2 linked regions of the Caenorhabditis elegans genome follow. The protein of the gene in region 1 interacts with the protein of each later gene in a pairwise test. Each region holds a gene or a part of one and is shown in the gene's direction. Other genes may lie near its edges.

Region 1 (6,434 bases):
TCATCCCAGCTGCTGAGCCACTTGCATATTCGCAGATTCCATTCTACTTAACTGGCCTCACGGATACCGCTGTGATTGTCGATGCCATAAAGGACATCAGAAGTGTTTGTGAACGATTTACCGATCAAGGACTTCCAAATTTCCCACAAGGAATCGCATTCACATTCTGGGAACAATATCTTTTCTTGACTGGAAATCTTATGCAAGCCATTTCGATCATTACCATCTCTGTCTTCTGCGTCATTTCCGTTCTTCTTTTCAATCCATGGGCTGCACTTATGGTTGTTTGTATTCTCGGAATCATGACTTGCGAACTTGCCGGATTCATGGGACTCGTTGGAATCAAGCTCAATCCGGTTTCAGCCGTAACTTTGATCACCGCAGTTGGAATTGGAGTCGAATTCACTGTTCATGTGGTTGTATCATTCCTGACGGCGCTCGGAACAAGATCTCAACGGACGTCATCTGCAGTTGATCGAGTTTTTGTCCCAGTCATTCATGGATCATTCTCCACACTTCTCGGTATTTTGATGCTTGGATTCTCAGAGTTTGAGTGAGTTTTACAGAAGTATGGATGTCATCAGAATGTTTTATTTTCAGATTTGTTGTCAAGTATTTCTTTATTGTCATGACGGCTCTGATTTGCATTGGAATCATAAACGGACTCATTCTTCTTCCAGTTTTATTATCTTGGTTTGGCCCAAGGAGAGAGGTAAAATCTAAATTTTGTTATTTTTCTTGTATACATCTTATTTTTTTTAGATCTCTCCTACTGGTGGAAAGACAACATTGACCCTGCCACCTCCTTTGCCAAAGAATGCCAACTCGTCTCGATCTGGCGGCGATGATTCTGATGAAGATGACGAGCCGAGTGGTCTTGTGATGTACTCAAGACAAGCACCCCCAACGACGAGGACATCAGGAGGAAATCGAGGAACAGTTGGAAATAACACACGCCGATTGCCAGCTGTATAGCAGTAGTAGTTCGCTCCAAGTTTTTGGAGCTTAAAAACTTACAAAAATGTAAAAATGGGTAAATTTCTTTCTGATGAATGCAGAGCATTGTGAACTTATCCTTTTTCCCAATGTTTCGTTGTCATATTTTCTTTTAAATTATTTTTGTCTTTTCTCTCTTTCTAACGGTCGACTACACACTTTCTGGTGATCTTCCCATGCCCTGTATAACACTTTTATAGTTATTATGTTGATTTTTTCACTGAGATTTCCAAGATATAGGCAATTAACATGATCACTATAAAATTGACACTTTCACACACTTCACCATTTCTAGCACCCAATTAACAAATTCAAAACTGAAAGAATAGATTTTGCGCGGTTTCCAAACGACAAATGCTTTAATCTGTTATAGTATTATTTTTCTTTATTTTCTTGCATCCATATCGATGAATATTTTGGCACCCTCGTTTTCTTTTTTCTTTGGGTATTTATTGCCACTTCTCAATCGAAAAAAACATGCGCATAATATTTACTCCGAGTGATAAAAGGGGAACGGTACAATTTAGAGAAAAAAGTACAATTGACATATCTGTATTGTTCACCTTTTTGTATTGCTTTCAATTGCACCCACTTGGTCTTTTTCGCCGTTTGTTTTGTTCCCCTCTGTGAATGATCTCAGCGAGCTTTGGGAATTTAATTATTTTATTAGCACCAGCCAAGATTTTTCTCTGCCCCTCTCGATTTCTATTGTCCCTTCGCCTCATCTCCAATTTTTTTGTTTCGAATTTTTTCGGATGAATAAACTTTTTCTAACATGAAACATACATTTTATCGATTCTTATTTTCAGAAAATTTTAGTATGAACTGTGAGAAATTATACTTGTCGACAGAATTACGGTTAAAGACGCAATTAATCAGAAAACAAATATTGATTCCAGAAATCAATACAATGAATGATGCATTCTCCTGACCCATTCACCGATCATCCAGATTCAGATGATTCTTTTGAAAAGTTTGTTCCGACTCCTAATGTGAATCGACGACGAAGTGATGCTATAATTGTTTCAGATGAGGTATTAGCTGCAAATATATCGAAAAGTTCGATGGAATGTCGAATAATTTCAATGAAATCGTTAAATTTAGTTTTCAAAAATATTAAATAGCTATTTTCAAAATACTTCTGCTTTCTTTAAGGGTTCATTCGACGGAATAACAGGATATTCCCAAGTAACAGTGATCGAAAATTGTCCGAATACTACTGTACTAGAAGATGAAAATAAACGCGCAAATCCTGATGATACAATAACTCGAATGCTAGAATCCAGTGACGAAGAGGATGAAACTGAAAATAATTCTGATAATGATGCACTTGCTGATCTTTTAAAATCGTTCAGAACGGAAGATCAGAAAAGAAAAGAAGTAGACATTGAACAGGCAGCAAATATCAGTATAGACATATTTGGTGATTTAATTGAAGAAGTTGACTCAGAACATGAAGCTGCTGAATATCCGGATAGAGAAGGTGGAAATAGCATGGATAAGCAAGGAACAATGCTACCGGTTGAAGTTCCTATTCAAAATAATATCAAACTTATACCAAGAAAGGTATGTAGAAATATTAAAACAATCGTTAATATTCTAGATTACAGCGTCGTCTAGAACCAAAATCATATGATTGTGAACCTTCAACATCCGCTGCACATGGCCCAGTTGGTGTTGTTTCATCAGATAGTGGCGAGTACTGGAATCAACAGAAAACCATCACCATACATGGACAAAATTTCGAAATAAATAATTTTGTGAGTTTTTTGCCCAAAACACCAAATCATTTACTATAAATAAAGTTTTTCGTTTTCACGTAAAATTAAAAGTTTCATTCCAAATGTGGACTTTTTTCGAGCATCGCTGTATATTCGAAATCCTAGAATATTTAAATAAAAACTATCGAAACCCAAATTAAATTATAAACTCGTAAAGACAATTTTCTGTCCGACTTCCAGTATGGCCTCTCAGTTTTCAAAACACGCTTGACTGTAAAGAAACAACTTTTTTGAAAAGTTTTACTATGACATTTGGACAGTTTAGCACTTAACTGATAATAACCCACAGGAAATAATCATTTTTTTCAGAATGACTATATGCGGATGAAGATCACTAAACTTAACCATCAGGTGAATCATGGATATGCGAAACCACTAGAGAATGTGTCTAGAATAATGGAAGGATTCTCGGTATTTGTGAATGGTTATACAGGTAATTTCATATTCCATAACTTAACGACTGATTTTACAGTTACTTATTTCAGATCCACCAGCACTTGTTATCAGAGATTTGATGATTTCTCACGGAGGTGAATATCACTGTTATTATCAACATGGAATTACTTCATACACGATAGCTTCCTCAATTGCTACAGCAAAAATAAATCGAATTCGAGAAAATGAAATTTTCATTAAAGCTGATTGGATTACGGAATCGTAAATATAATCAACCCGATTCTTCCGATTAAACCAGTATTTCAGAATAGCTGCTGGAAAACCACTCGATTATCGAGATTTTTTGATATACGAGAAAGGTTCGGTGGAAAAGGGACAAATGCAACAGTTTCTAACAATATCAACTAGAAACACCGGTGGTAACAATGAAACAACTTCATCGAATCAGTTCTCTGATGCCCGGAATCCAAACTTTATTCGAGATTACTATGCCAGAAGTCGTCTTCATTTGATTTCTACTCTCGCGCAGGATATGAAAGATTTTGTGGCAAATTTGAAACTGGAAGGAAAGCTAACGGAAAAGTGTTTTGAAGAGAAAGAACTCATCGATATGAAGTCTCTTAGCAATGAAATTTCTCGGGAAAGTACAGTATTCCACGTGGATCTAGACTGTTTCTTCGTCTCAGTTGCTGTCAGAAATCGAATTGATTTGAAACACAAAGAAGTTGCCATCACTCATAGCAAGGTAAATCAATTTAAAAGCTTCGTGTCAAACTATAAATCTTTCAGGGAACTATTTCGAATAGCATGAGCGAGGTGGCTTCTTGCAGTTATGCAGCTCGTGATTGTGGAGTCAAAAATGGTATGCTCGTGAGAGATGCTCTACAAAAGTGTCCACAATTAACTCTATTACCATATCAATTTGAGGATTATGTGCAAGTTAGTCGGAAAATTTATGAAATTCTGGCTAGCTACACATTGGAGGTTCGTGCAGTCTCCTGCGATGAAATGTATATAAACATGAGCAGTTTTTGTGAAAAATACGAAATCAACGACCCAACAATTCTCGCTGAACACATCCGTAAAGTGATACGAGAGAAGACTCAATGCCCAGCCAGTGTTGGAATAGGATCTACGAGCTTGTTAGCAAGACTTGCAACAAGACATGCTAAACCAGATGGAGTTTTTTGGGTTAATGCACATAAGAAAAATGAATTCATTTCCGAGGAAAAAGTTAAAGATCTACCAGGATTTGGATACGAAATGATGAATAGATTAACTTCATTCTTTGGTAATTCCAGTATCTAATATAAAAATATCAACTTCTCAGTTTTACAGGTGATATTACAAAATGCCGTGAACTACAATTAAAAACTGAACGGGAACTTGTACCTGTATTCGGACCAAAGTTGGCTTCAAAAATATTACGACAATGTCGTGGTATTGAAGAAGATCCAGATGATTTTTGGGCTACTCATGTTCGAAAATCAGTATCATGTGATATCAATTATGGTATTCGTTTCACGAAGGTAATGTATTATATTAAAATGTCCGTATAACGATGGAATATTTCAGAGAGGTGAAGTTATTCAACTCATGACAGCTATTGGAGCTGAGTTAGAACGGAAACTTATCGATAGTAAATTAACCGCAGGATCCATAACTTTGAAGCTTATGGTACGTTCAGCAAATGCTCCTATACAAACATCCAAATTCATGGGACATGGAATTTGTGATACATTTACCAAAACGTGTAATCTAAACGTTCCAACTACACGCGGAGAGTCTCTCACATCAGAAGCTATGAAATTATATGCTAAAGTTTCTCCGAAAGTAGAAGATCTTCGTGGAGTTGGAGTTACCTGTGGAAAGTTGAAAAGTAAATTGAAAAAAGATGCGGCAACGGCAGTGCAAGAGATGTTTGGGAAGACCTCTAGAGTTGGGAATATGGCGAGAACTGACGAACAATTGAGTTAGTATTTAAGTAGTGAAATTTTATTGAAAACATTCTGTATTTTCAGATATTATTCCGCGAAACGAAGATGAACTAGATAAAGAACCTGTGATAATTCCAGCTGTGACTGAAGATCTGGAAGTGCAAAGCATACCTCGTCAAATTAATTTTAGAGTGGCAAATGACATAGATATTCCTGAAATTGTAAAATCCACACTTCTCAATGGACGATCTGACAACAACCTCGAATTGGAAGATTTGGAAGATGATGGATTAGTTGAAAATCGTCTGGCCGAATTGGAATGTATTATTCAAAATGGTGAGATACCCAAAATCTGATGTTTCATGGAATAACTTTATCAATTTTTTCAGAGCCAACCAAGGAGAGTGTTACGAACTTACAGGAAATGCTTTCAACGTTGCTAAACTATGGAAAACTTTCCGCATTCGAGACTGTATTCAGAAAGTTTGAAGAGATTTCGATGGATTCTAGTAGATGCGACACTGCTTGGTTTTCAGTATTCCATTTGATGGTACCATTCATCGAAGAAGAATCAAAAGATCTGCTTGAATTTCCCATAGCTACCACTCGAAATTTGGGAGCTATGATTGCCAGCAACACTGATAACACATCAATTAGTTCACCAGAGCCATTTGTTCCAAAAGAAGTATTTGTAATTGATTCCACTAAACATACCTGAATTTAAATCTTGTAAAATATTGTTTTTCTTTTTCTGTAAAATAATTAAATTAAAATGAATAAATAACATATTTAAGACCATTGAATAAACTTTTATAATTCAAAAAGAGAAGGAATGAATGAGTGAAGACGTGAATATTAAACCAGTAAGAAGACGTCGAGATCAATACAGGAAAGAGCTTGTAATCAGTTTGAAATCCATTCTCAAAACTTTGGAATATTTCTAGGACCATTTGCCAAATTTTCCAGATCAGCGAATGAAAGTTTTGAAGTTGTTGAAACGGAAACGTCTCGTTCGTTTAGATGATCTGAAATTTAAAAAATAGTAACTTTCATATTTTTTTATGAAATTCCCACTTCCCGGAACTGCTTGCACTTGCATTGCGTCTACATTGAATTTTAATTTCCGAAGATGCTGTCGTTGTGGATGATTTGATAGTTTTGACGATGCACTTGTATGAAGTAACTGTAATAAAGTTATGCTATAGATTGAAAACTACAAATTTAAAACTCCATGGTTTTGGTAGATCATATTTTTAGATTGTTCCAAAATTTTAGATTTTCAGACTTACACGAATTTCATCATCCAAACTTTCAACATAAACAG
Region 2 (7,178 bases), on another chromosome or scaffold:
TGACCTTTGTGTAATATTTCTTCATGTGGTGCACCCTAATTTCCCCTTGAAGACCGAATCGAGATCGCTTCGAGATTGAAACAGGAGGATCCATTCATTATTTTTTTCATTGAAAGAACTTCGTTCAGTAGTAAGCTCTCAGACAATTCAAAAAAGTCATTCTGAACTTTTCAAGTTCGCATATGTGATTATATATTAAGCTACAAGCAAGCTGTATTCCTTTCTGCTTATTATATGAAATGTATATTTGAGAAAAGTAGTTCTAGTTACCTATATATATATATATATATATGTATACACACATATATATATATATATCTCGGTATCACTTGTTGTCAATAAGATTGTTTATTCCAACTACTAATTTGCTCCCATAGGAAAACAAAAAAAATTGGATTCTTTGTGAAGTATACAGCCTAACACCGCTACATCTATTCGGCCGTTGTCACTAATATGAAATTGGTAATGTAATAGACGTGGTGGTGCGTGAAAGTTTACCTCTTTCTTCTCCGCTCTTACTCGTTCTCTAGCCATGTCGCTAACTATGGATAACAAATGCTCTCGTTGGAAATATATCACCGTAGTTACTACTACTACTACTACACTCGATGAATTATATTATTACGGCGCGGTCTTCTCTATTTGCTAAAGATCGATGATGAAGCAGTTTTTTTTTGGAGGAATGCGTGCTCAGCTGCTACGTTTCTGTTGTTTCGATTTGTAATACGCAACAATTTGTTGTAATCGATAAAATTGCACTACTATATATCAATTGTGATAATTTAATTCCAAAAGCTTCAAAGTTGTATATCATCATACAAACTTTGTTGCCACTTTCTAGAAATCTCTTGATTCGACAACTTCCAAAGATTTTAACATTTATTTCCCAAATGTACATTTACGTATGTATTTACTAAGTTGTTGAAAAATACAACAATGCCTCTCTGATAAGACTCAAAAACGTGCAGAAACGTTGATAAGCAGTGTAATTCTCCAATGTTTCTCAAATACTTTTTTTCACCATCTGTATGTTTATACTTTTAATTTCCCCTCTTCATGAAAATTTATCCAGAAAAAATTAAAATTTATCAAAAATTTTGTGCAAGGCATGAACATGACATTTCAAAAAAAAAATCAAATATACATACATCATTAAAAATTATTTAAAATTTATTTTGACTCGGAAAGGAAGTCATTTGTAATCTCCAAACCAAACATTTTTCAGTTCTCTCTGCTGGAAGCGACAAGACCATTTTCCTCGGAGAACTCGACCTGGAGGATTATTAAACTTTTTAAAATTTCAAACAATCAGATTCTGACGTCTTCATTTTTATTTTACATCCTATTTTTATCACCTTTATTGTTGTTACTTGTTTCTGTTTCTTTCATTTCCTTTCATAATAAGAATCTATTCTTCTTACGCTCATCGTTCTACACCCACATATCGTCTAGAATCTTACATTTCCGATCTATGAGCACAATATTCAGATAATCTTTTTTTTTCTTTTATTCCCTTTTTTCATTTACTGAAAACTTTTTTCAGTACTCATCGCATTAACTTACAACATTTCAGACATGACCAGTAGTGAAGATAATAATCCGTCGACGTCAGAGTCCCCAAAATGGCCGATTGGGTCATTTTTCGACAGGGTTAGATAACTTTATTATTTTTGTTGAATTTTATGTATCTTTTCAAATTGAACATAGTTTTTATTCAGCTTCAAAATATGTCAGATAATGAGACATGGAATATAGTTTATGGTGTCGATTCAACTTCGGAAACAGAGACAAAAGGATTTTCCTGGCGAGTTAAGGAAGAAATCAAACTTATTGGATTAAAGTGAGCAAAGAAATGGAAAGATTTTAAATTCATTTTTATTATTTCAGAATTACAAATAGTACAAAGAATAAGACATTCATAGCCAAGGGAATGGTAGATTATATATCAGATTTTCTTCACAAAGCGACACGTAGTCTATGCCAATTTGATCATCGATTTTTCCCATCTGAATGGGTATCTTACTATCTATTTTGCAAGTAATTTTTCTTAAATGAAAGTTGAAATTTTCCAGATATTACCAGAAAACTGCTGTGCTCAGCATTATTATTCGAGAGAACAACCCGAGGGAAAGCATACAATGATTGTGGTCATTCGATTGTATCAAATTCAGAGTTCGTAGATTTTTTCTCGTGTAGAATTTATCTAATTTAACATTTAAACTTCAGTTTGTTTAAAGCGAACCAAGGAATCGAAAATTGGAAGTGGCCTACCAAGAAAACTAGAGGAAGATTCTAATATTTCTGAATTCCACAATGCTCATAGATTCTATCGAAGTTTTTTGGAAGCTGCTGTTGAGTGAGTTACCTATTTATTACGGGACCACCGAGTTCGGAGATTGCGTACTGTACAACATATTAGACGAGCAAAATATTTCGTAGCGAAAACTATAGTAATTCTTTAAATGACTACTGTAGCGATGGAAACGAATTTATGTTCGAACTGTGGCAGCGGTATCAAATTATTTTTTTTTTCATTTTTGTGTTTTCTTTTAATATTTTATCAATTAAAACCAGCGCTACAGTAGTAATTTAAAGAGCTACTGTAGTTTTCGCTTCGAGATATTTTGCGCATAAAATATGTTGCACAATACGAATTCTCAGCATTTACCGTAATAGCACATCTTCGTTTAGTAATGAGATGTATGTTTGATAATTTGTAGTTTATGCCAAAAGGAAGTGTCGTCAGAAAACTTTATTATCAATAATAGCAAGCGACTAGATAATTGGGTGTCAGAAACGGATGTTTACTCGCTACACCATGTCTATGAACTTTCAATATTCAGATATCTATACGGCTATAATATCATGTGGGAAATTGATGGCGGAGGACGATTGGAAGACGAAATTAATTGGTATAATCAACATAATCCTTCTCGCACAGTTGGTCCCAATGATATGAATGGAGAAAATGAAATCCCAGCAGATAAATCTTCTAGAATGGGTAAAAGATCTTCGAAAATTCCAAAAATCAAAAAGTCTAAAAAGTCAAAGCATCACAAGAAGAAGAAAAGAAAGAGTAGGAGTGAAGATACTTCTGGCAACAGTTCACCTACCGTAATCGCAACAGATGGCTCTTCTCCCGAGTCAGAGGATCTTTCTGTGTTTCAACTGCTTAAAAAGATCGGAACAACTGTCAACTTTCAACAGATTAAGCAAGCTATGGAGGTTGTACAACAAGGAAGAAAGAGACTCTCTGAGAATGATCCAATTTCTGAAGATGACTCAAAACGATTACGCACTCAAAAATCTGCTTTTTGCATTAGATCAACGATTCCTTGTGATCCAAGACTTGAATCTAAAACATATCTCGAAATGTTAGAAAACGAGAGGATTAAAGAAGCAGCTAGAAAACGGTCGAAAAGCGTCGGTGAGTAATTTTATTTGTTTTTCAGAATTCACCTATTAAAGGTGGAGTAGAGCCAATCGGGATTTGGTTTAAATATAATAATGATTCAAAATGACGGAATATCATAATAAAACATTCCAAAAATTTTTAGATGTTTCATAATTTCCGGTCAAAGTTTTATCAAATTGCCTAACTATAAATTTTGAAAAGTATGAGGCTTTAAGGAAATCCAAAGTAATTTCGCATGTTCCGACCTCTACAATGTTTTAATACGATTTATTAAAACAAAATTACAGTATAAAAAATGTAGGAAAACAATTTATTTAGTCGACTTCCAAAATTATTATTGGCAAAAACTGAGTAATTGTCACCTTTTGACATTAAATAAAAAAATTTCAAAATTTTTTAAAAGTTTTATTTTGATATATTCGGCCATTTTGGCACTATAAAAGTAGGTTTTAACAATTTTCCCACTGGCGCTACTCCACTTTTGACAATATCTTGTAAATGTATCAATTTCAGATGATATTGAGCATGTGGCAGATACTGTTACTGATTCGTCAATTGAACTTGAAATCGAACGAATTCAAACATTTGAAGAAGAGCCTCGTCCAATCTCAATTTTCAACAATCCACGATTGAACTCTGGAGATGAAGATTCTACTAGAAATTCACCTTCCAGTGTTATTTCTCCACCAACTTCCGTTTTTACAATGTCCCCAATTCATGAAGCACACTCTCAGGTTACATACGACAGTATTGCTCCACTGGAAAGTCCTGCTATCGACTCTGATGACGATTTTGACTTTTTCCCATCTTTGGTCGAGACAAGCTCGCGACCAGCGTCTTCCGAATTGAAAGACACGGAAGAGTGCTTGGACAATTCTCAGAGCATGGAAAAATATGGATATATTGATTCTGAAAATAATTATCTTGAAATGGAACAAGAAGATACATCGAATTCAGAAGAAGATCAGCTCGAAATTGCTGATTCACCATCTTCTACAATCTCATCTGCACATGGAAGTTATGATACAGATCTTATCGATATAGAGGACAGCTCAGCTCATGAAACGATCCTACCAGATCAGGAAAAAGAAGAAGATGCTGAAATAATTTCAACCACTCAAAACTTTAGTCAAGTCCTTCATGTTGCTGAGACTACAACACCAGGTAAATTTATAGCTTCCATAATCCATAATGAGTGGCTAAAACTCAGTGCATTAAGATATATCAGCTAGTTTCAGAATTCTGCTAATTTTTTTATTTTAATTATTCCCTTTCTCAAATTGTACTAAACATCGATAATAATTAATAAGTATTCTTAATTAATATTTACGGTGAGCTTTGTTGTTAAATTTTGAAATTGATTCACTTGGGGGTGGACGGCAAATTACCGGTTTTCCGATTTGCCGGAAGTTTTGGTTTTCGGCAAATTGCCGGTTTTCCGATTTGCCGGAAGTTTTGGTTTTCGGCAAATTGCCGGTTTTCCGATTCGCCGAAAGTTTAAATATTCGGCAAATTGTCGGTTTTTCGATTTGACGGAAATTTTAATATGGGCAGATTGCCGATTTTCCGGAAAAAAATCGTTTGCCGCCCATCCCTGGTTCAACTGTTGAATTTGAATTTTATTTAAAAATTGATGTAATGTTTGTTTTGTTCAGATCACGTTGAAGAAGTTTCTTTGAAGGCTACAAACAATGTACCGGAACGAGCTCCATTCACTATGTACTCTACAAAGAATCAGTTAGAACATCTCTCAACTCCCGAATACCCAACTGCAAGACGGATTTCTCTTCAATTCAAGCCACTGAAGATTTCGAATCAAAAACCTGATATTTTCAAACAGTATCACTTGCCAACAATGAAAGAACTTGAGCATCTTCCGAAGCAGTTGCGGTATATGAGTAGATCAAATAAAACTGATAACAGATATTGGTTTGATGTCGGTACTGTGAAGAATGACTTTAAACGGAAACTTTTCGGAGACTATTACCGCGATTGGATGCGTTCCGGCCATTTTATGAGACATAAAGTGAATAGTGTATGTTCACAATTGGATGCAAATTGTCCTTACTTCATTCTAAAGGAAGAAACAAGAGATAGGTATAATAGCTTTGGTTTTGGAATTTTGAATTTTCTAAGATCTATTTTCAGCCCAGCACTGATGCTCCAAATTGAAGAACTTCGCGATAAGCCTATTCCACTGGAACTACTGAGCAAAATGGTTTGCATCAGAATGAATGCCAGATTTTTTATCGATTATTTCGACCAAGTTTCTTGTTTAACTCCAGCCTGCTGGGTAAGTTGAATTTTTGTTTTTTTTTAACTTGAAAAATATTACGGGAACACGAAATTCTGAGAATACGTATTGTGCAACACATCTGACGCGCAAATTATCTTGTAGCGGGAACTACAGTAATTCTTTAAATTACTACTGTAGCACTGGTCCCACTTTTGAGTTGTTTTTGTCACGATTTATTGACGATTTCTAAAGTATCGTCGAAATGACAACAACCAACGAAAAAATAAATATCGAAAATAAATTCGTTTCTAAAGTCCAGTTAGTAAATCGTTCCCGTAAATTGCCACCAGCGCTACAGTAGTCATTTAAAGAATTGCTGCGGTTTTCGCTACGATATACTTTGCGCGTCAGATCTATTGCACAATACGCATTCTCAGAATTAAGTGTTTCCGTAATATCTTGGAAATTAAAAATTAAATATGATTTTTTTTCAGGCCAACATAGATTTAAATAAACTTGGCGACTTCACAAGTTCTGATGACGAAGTTGCAGACATTGGAAAAAGCTTTCTTGCAACATTATCCGATCTTCCAGATATGCCAACTGAAGTGGTTATGACTATTAAGAAGAACTCCCACATTTTATACAAAAAAATTATGAGTGACTTAGTGAGAACCATGTTCATTTTGAAATTGGATAGTGATGGCAAACCACATTTCTTCTATGATGGTGCATTTGACATAAAGCCGAAGGTTAGACGATCTCCACCATCTCCATCAAATAGTGAGATCTCATTGTAATTTCTATATAATTTATTCATAACTTTATGCATTTTCTTCTGTTTTTTGTTGCAATTTCTTTCCCTTCCACCGGTTCGCTTCCCTGTTTCTATGATCCTCCCTTACCCTTGAATAATCTCCTTTCAATGTTTTTCTTGTTTTTGTTTTACTTGTGTTTTGATTTTTGAGCTCAAAGTTTTCAAATGTAAATATTTATATACTACATCATCTTTAGAACAACCCGGTCACAAAACAAATAGCACAATATTATGAAAATTTAAATTAAAATTAGCTGTGAGGTGCACAGATCGGTGAATGGGGTTAATGCGATATGGGAGGAGAAGTAGAATATTGCTGCAATTGCCAACGGGAACGGCAATGCTGGAAGTGCAGTTTGAGATAATGTGACAATTGGCAGAGTAATTGTCAAACCAACAAGATTGGATACGAAGCACGCGACGACAGTTGGAAGTGGGCACGTCTGAAATGCTTAGAATTTGAATTGCCAGAAATTTTCAATTTGGGTAATTTGCCGGAAATTATCATTTTCGGCGAATTGCGGGTTTGCCGAAAAATTTCAATTCCGGCAAAGTGTCGATTTGCTGATTTGGTGGAATTTTCATTTTTAGCAAATTGCCGATTTGCCGGAAAATTTCAATTCCGGCAAAGTGCCGATTTGCCGGAAATGTTTTAAAAAAGTTTAATGGATTTTCTGTAAAATTCAAAAATTATCTTTAATTGGGTAAAT

The links. Proteins that work in one complex are often made in the same cells at the same time.
Region 2: the proteins of rev-1 (region 1) and C18E3.3 interact in a two-hybrid assay, tested with the Caenorhabditis elegans proteins (2 studies listed by BioGRID).

The regions. Positions count from the first base shown.
Region 1 is NC_003280.10:7,898,734-7,905,167, forward strand, and holds rev-1 (DNA repair protein REV1), read left to right. Parts: upstream 1-1,888; 5' UTR 1,889-1,913; coding exon 1,914-2,030; intron 2,031-2,151; coding exon 2,152-2,562; intron 2,563-2,606; coding exon 2,607-2,756; intron 2,757-3,086; coding exon 3,087-3,210; intron 3,211-3,262; coding exon 3,263-3,434; intron 3,435-3,479; coding exon 3,480-3,918; intron 3,919-3,962; coding exon 3,963-4,464; intron 4,465-4,511; coding exon 4,512-4,702; intron 4,703-4,748; coding exon 4,749-5,145; intron 5,146-5,194; coding exon 5,195-5,446; intron 5,447-5,499; coding exon 5,500-5,828; 3' UTR 5,829-5,934; downstream 5,935-6,434. Other genes in the region: ptc-1 (Protein patched homolog 1), read left to right, coding at 1-553, 601-712, 763-975; best-23 (Bestrophin homolog), read right to left, coding at 6,032-6,135, 6,185-6,293, 6,400-6,434.
Region 2 is NC_003279.8:4,201,885-4,209,062, forward strand, and holds C18E3.3 (ULP_PROTEASE domain-containing protein), read left to right. Parts: upstream 1-1,573; 5' UTR 1,574-1,575; coding exon 1,576-1,650; intron 1,651-1,718; coding exon 1,719-1,840; intron 1,841-1,887; coding exon 1,888-2,014; intron 2,015-2,072; coding exon 2,073-2,172; intron 2,173-2,226; coding exon 2,227-2,356; intron 2,357-2,843; coding exon 2,844-3,427; intron 3,428-3,928; coding exon 3,929-4,579; intron 4,580-5,070; coding exon 5,071-5,512; intron 5,513-5,563; coding exon 5,564-5,708; intron 5,709-6,145; coding exon 6,146-6,451; 3' UTR 6,452-6,678; downstream 6,679-7,178. Other genes in the region: snrp-40.2 (WD_REPEATS_REGION domain-containing protein), read left to right, coding at 1,226-1,287; Presenilin hop-1, read right to left, coding at 6,708-6,911.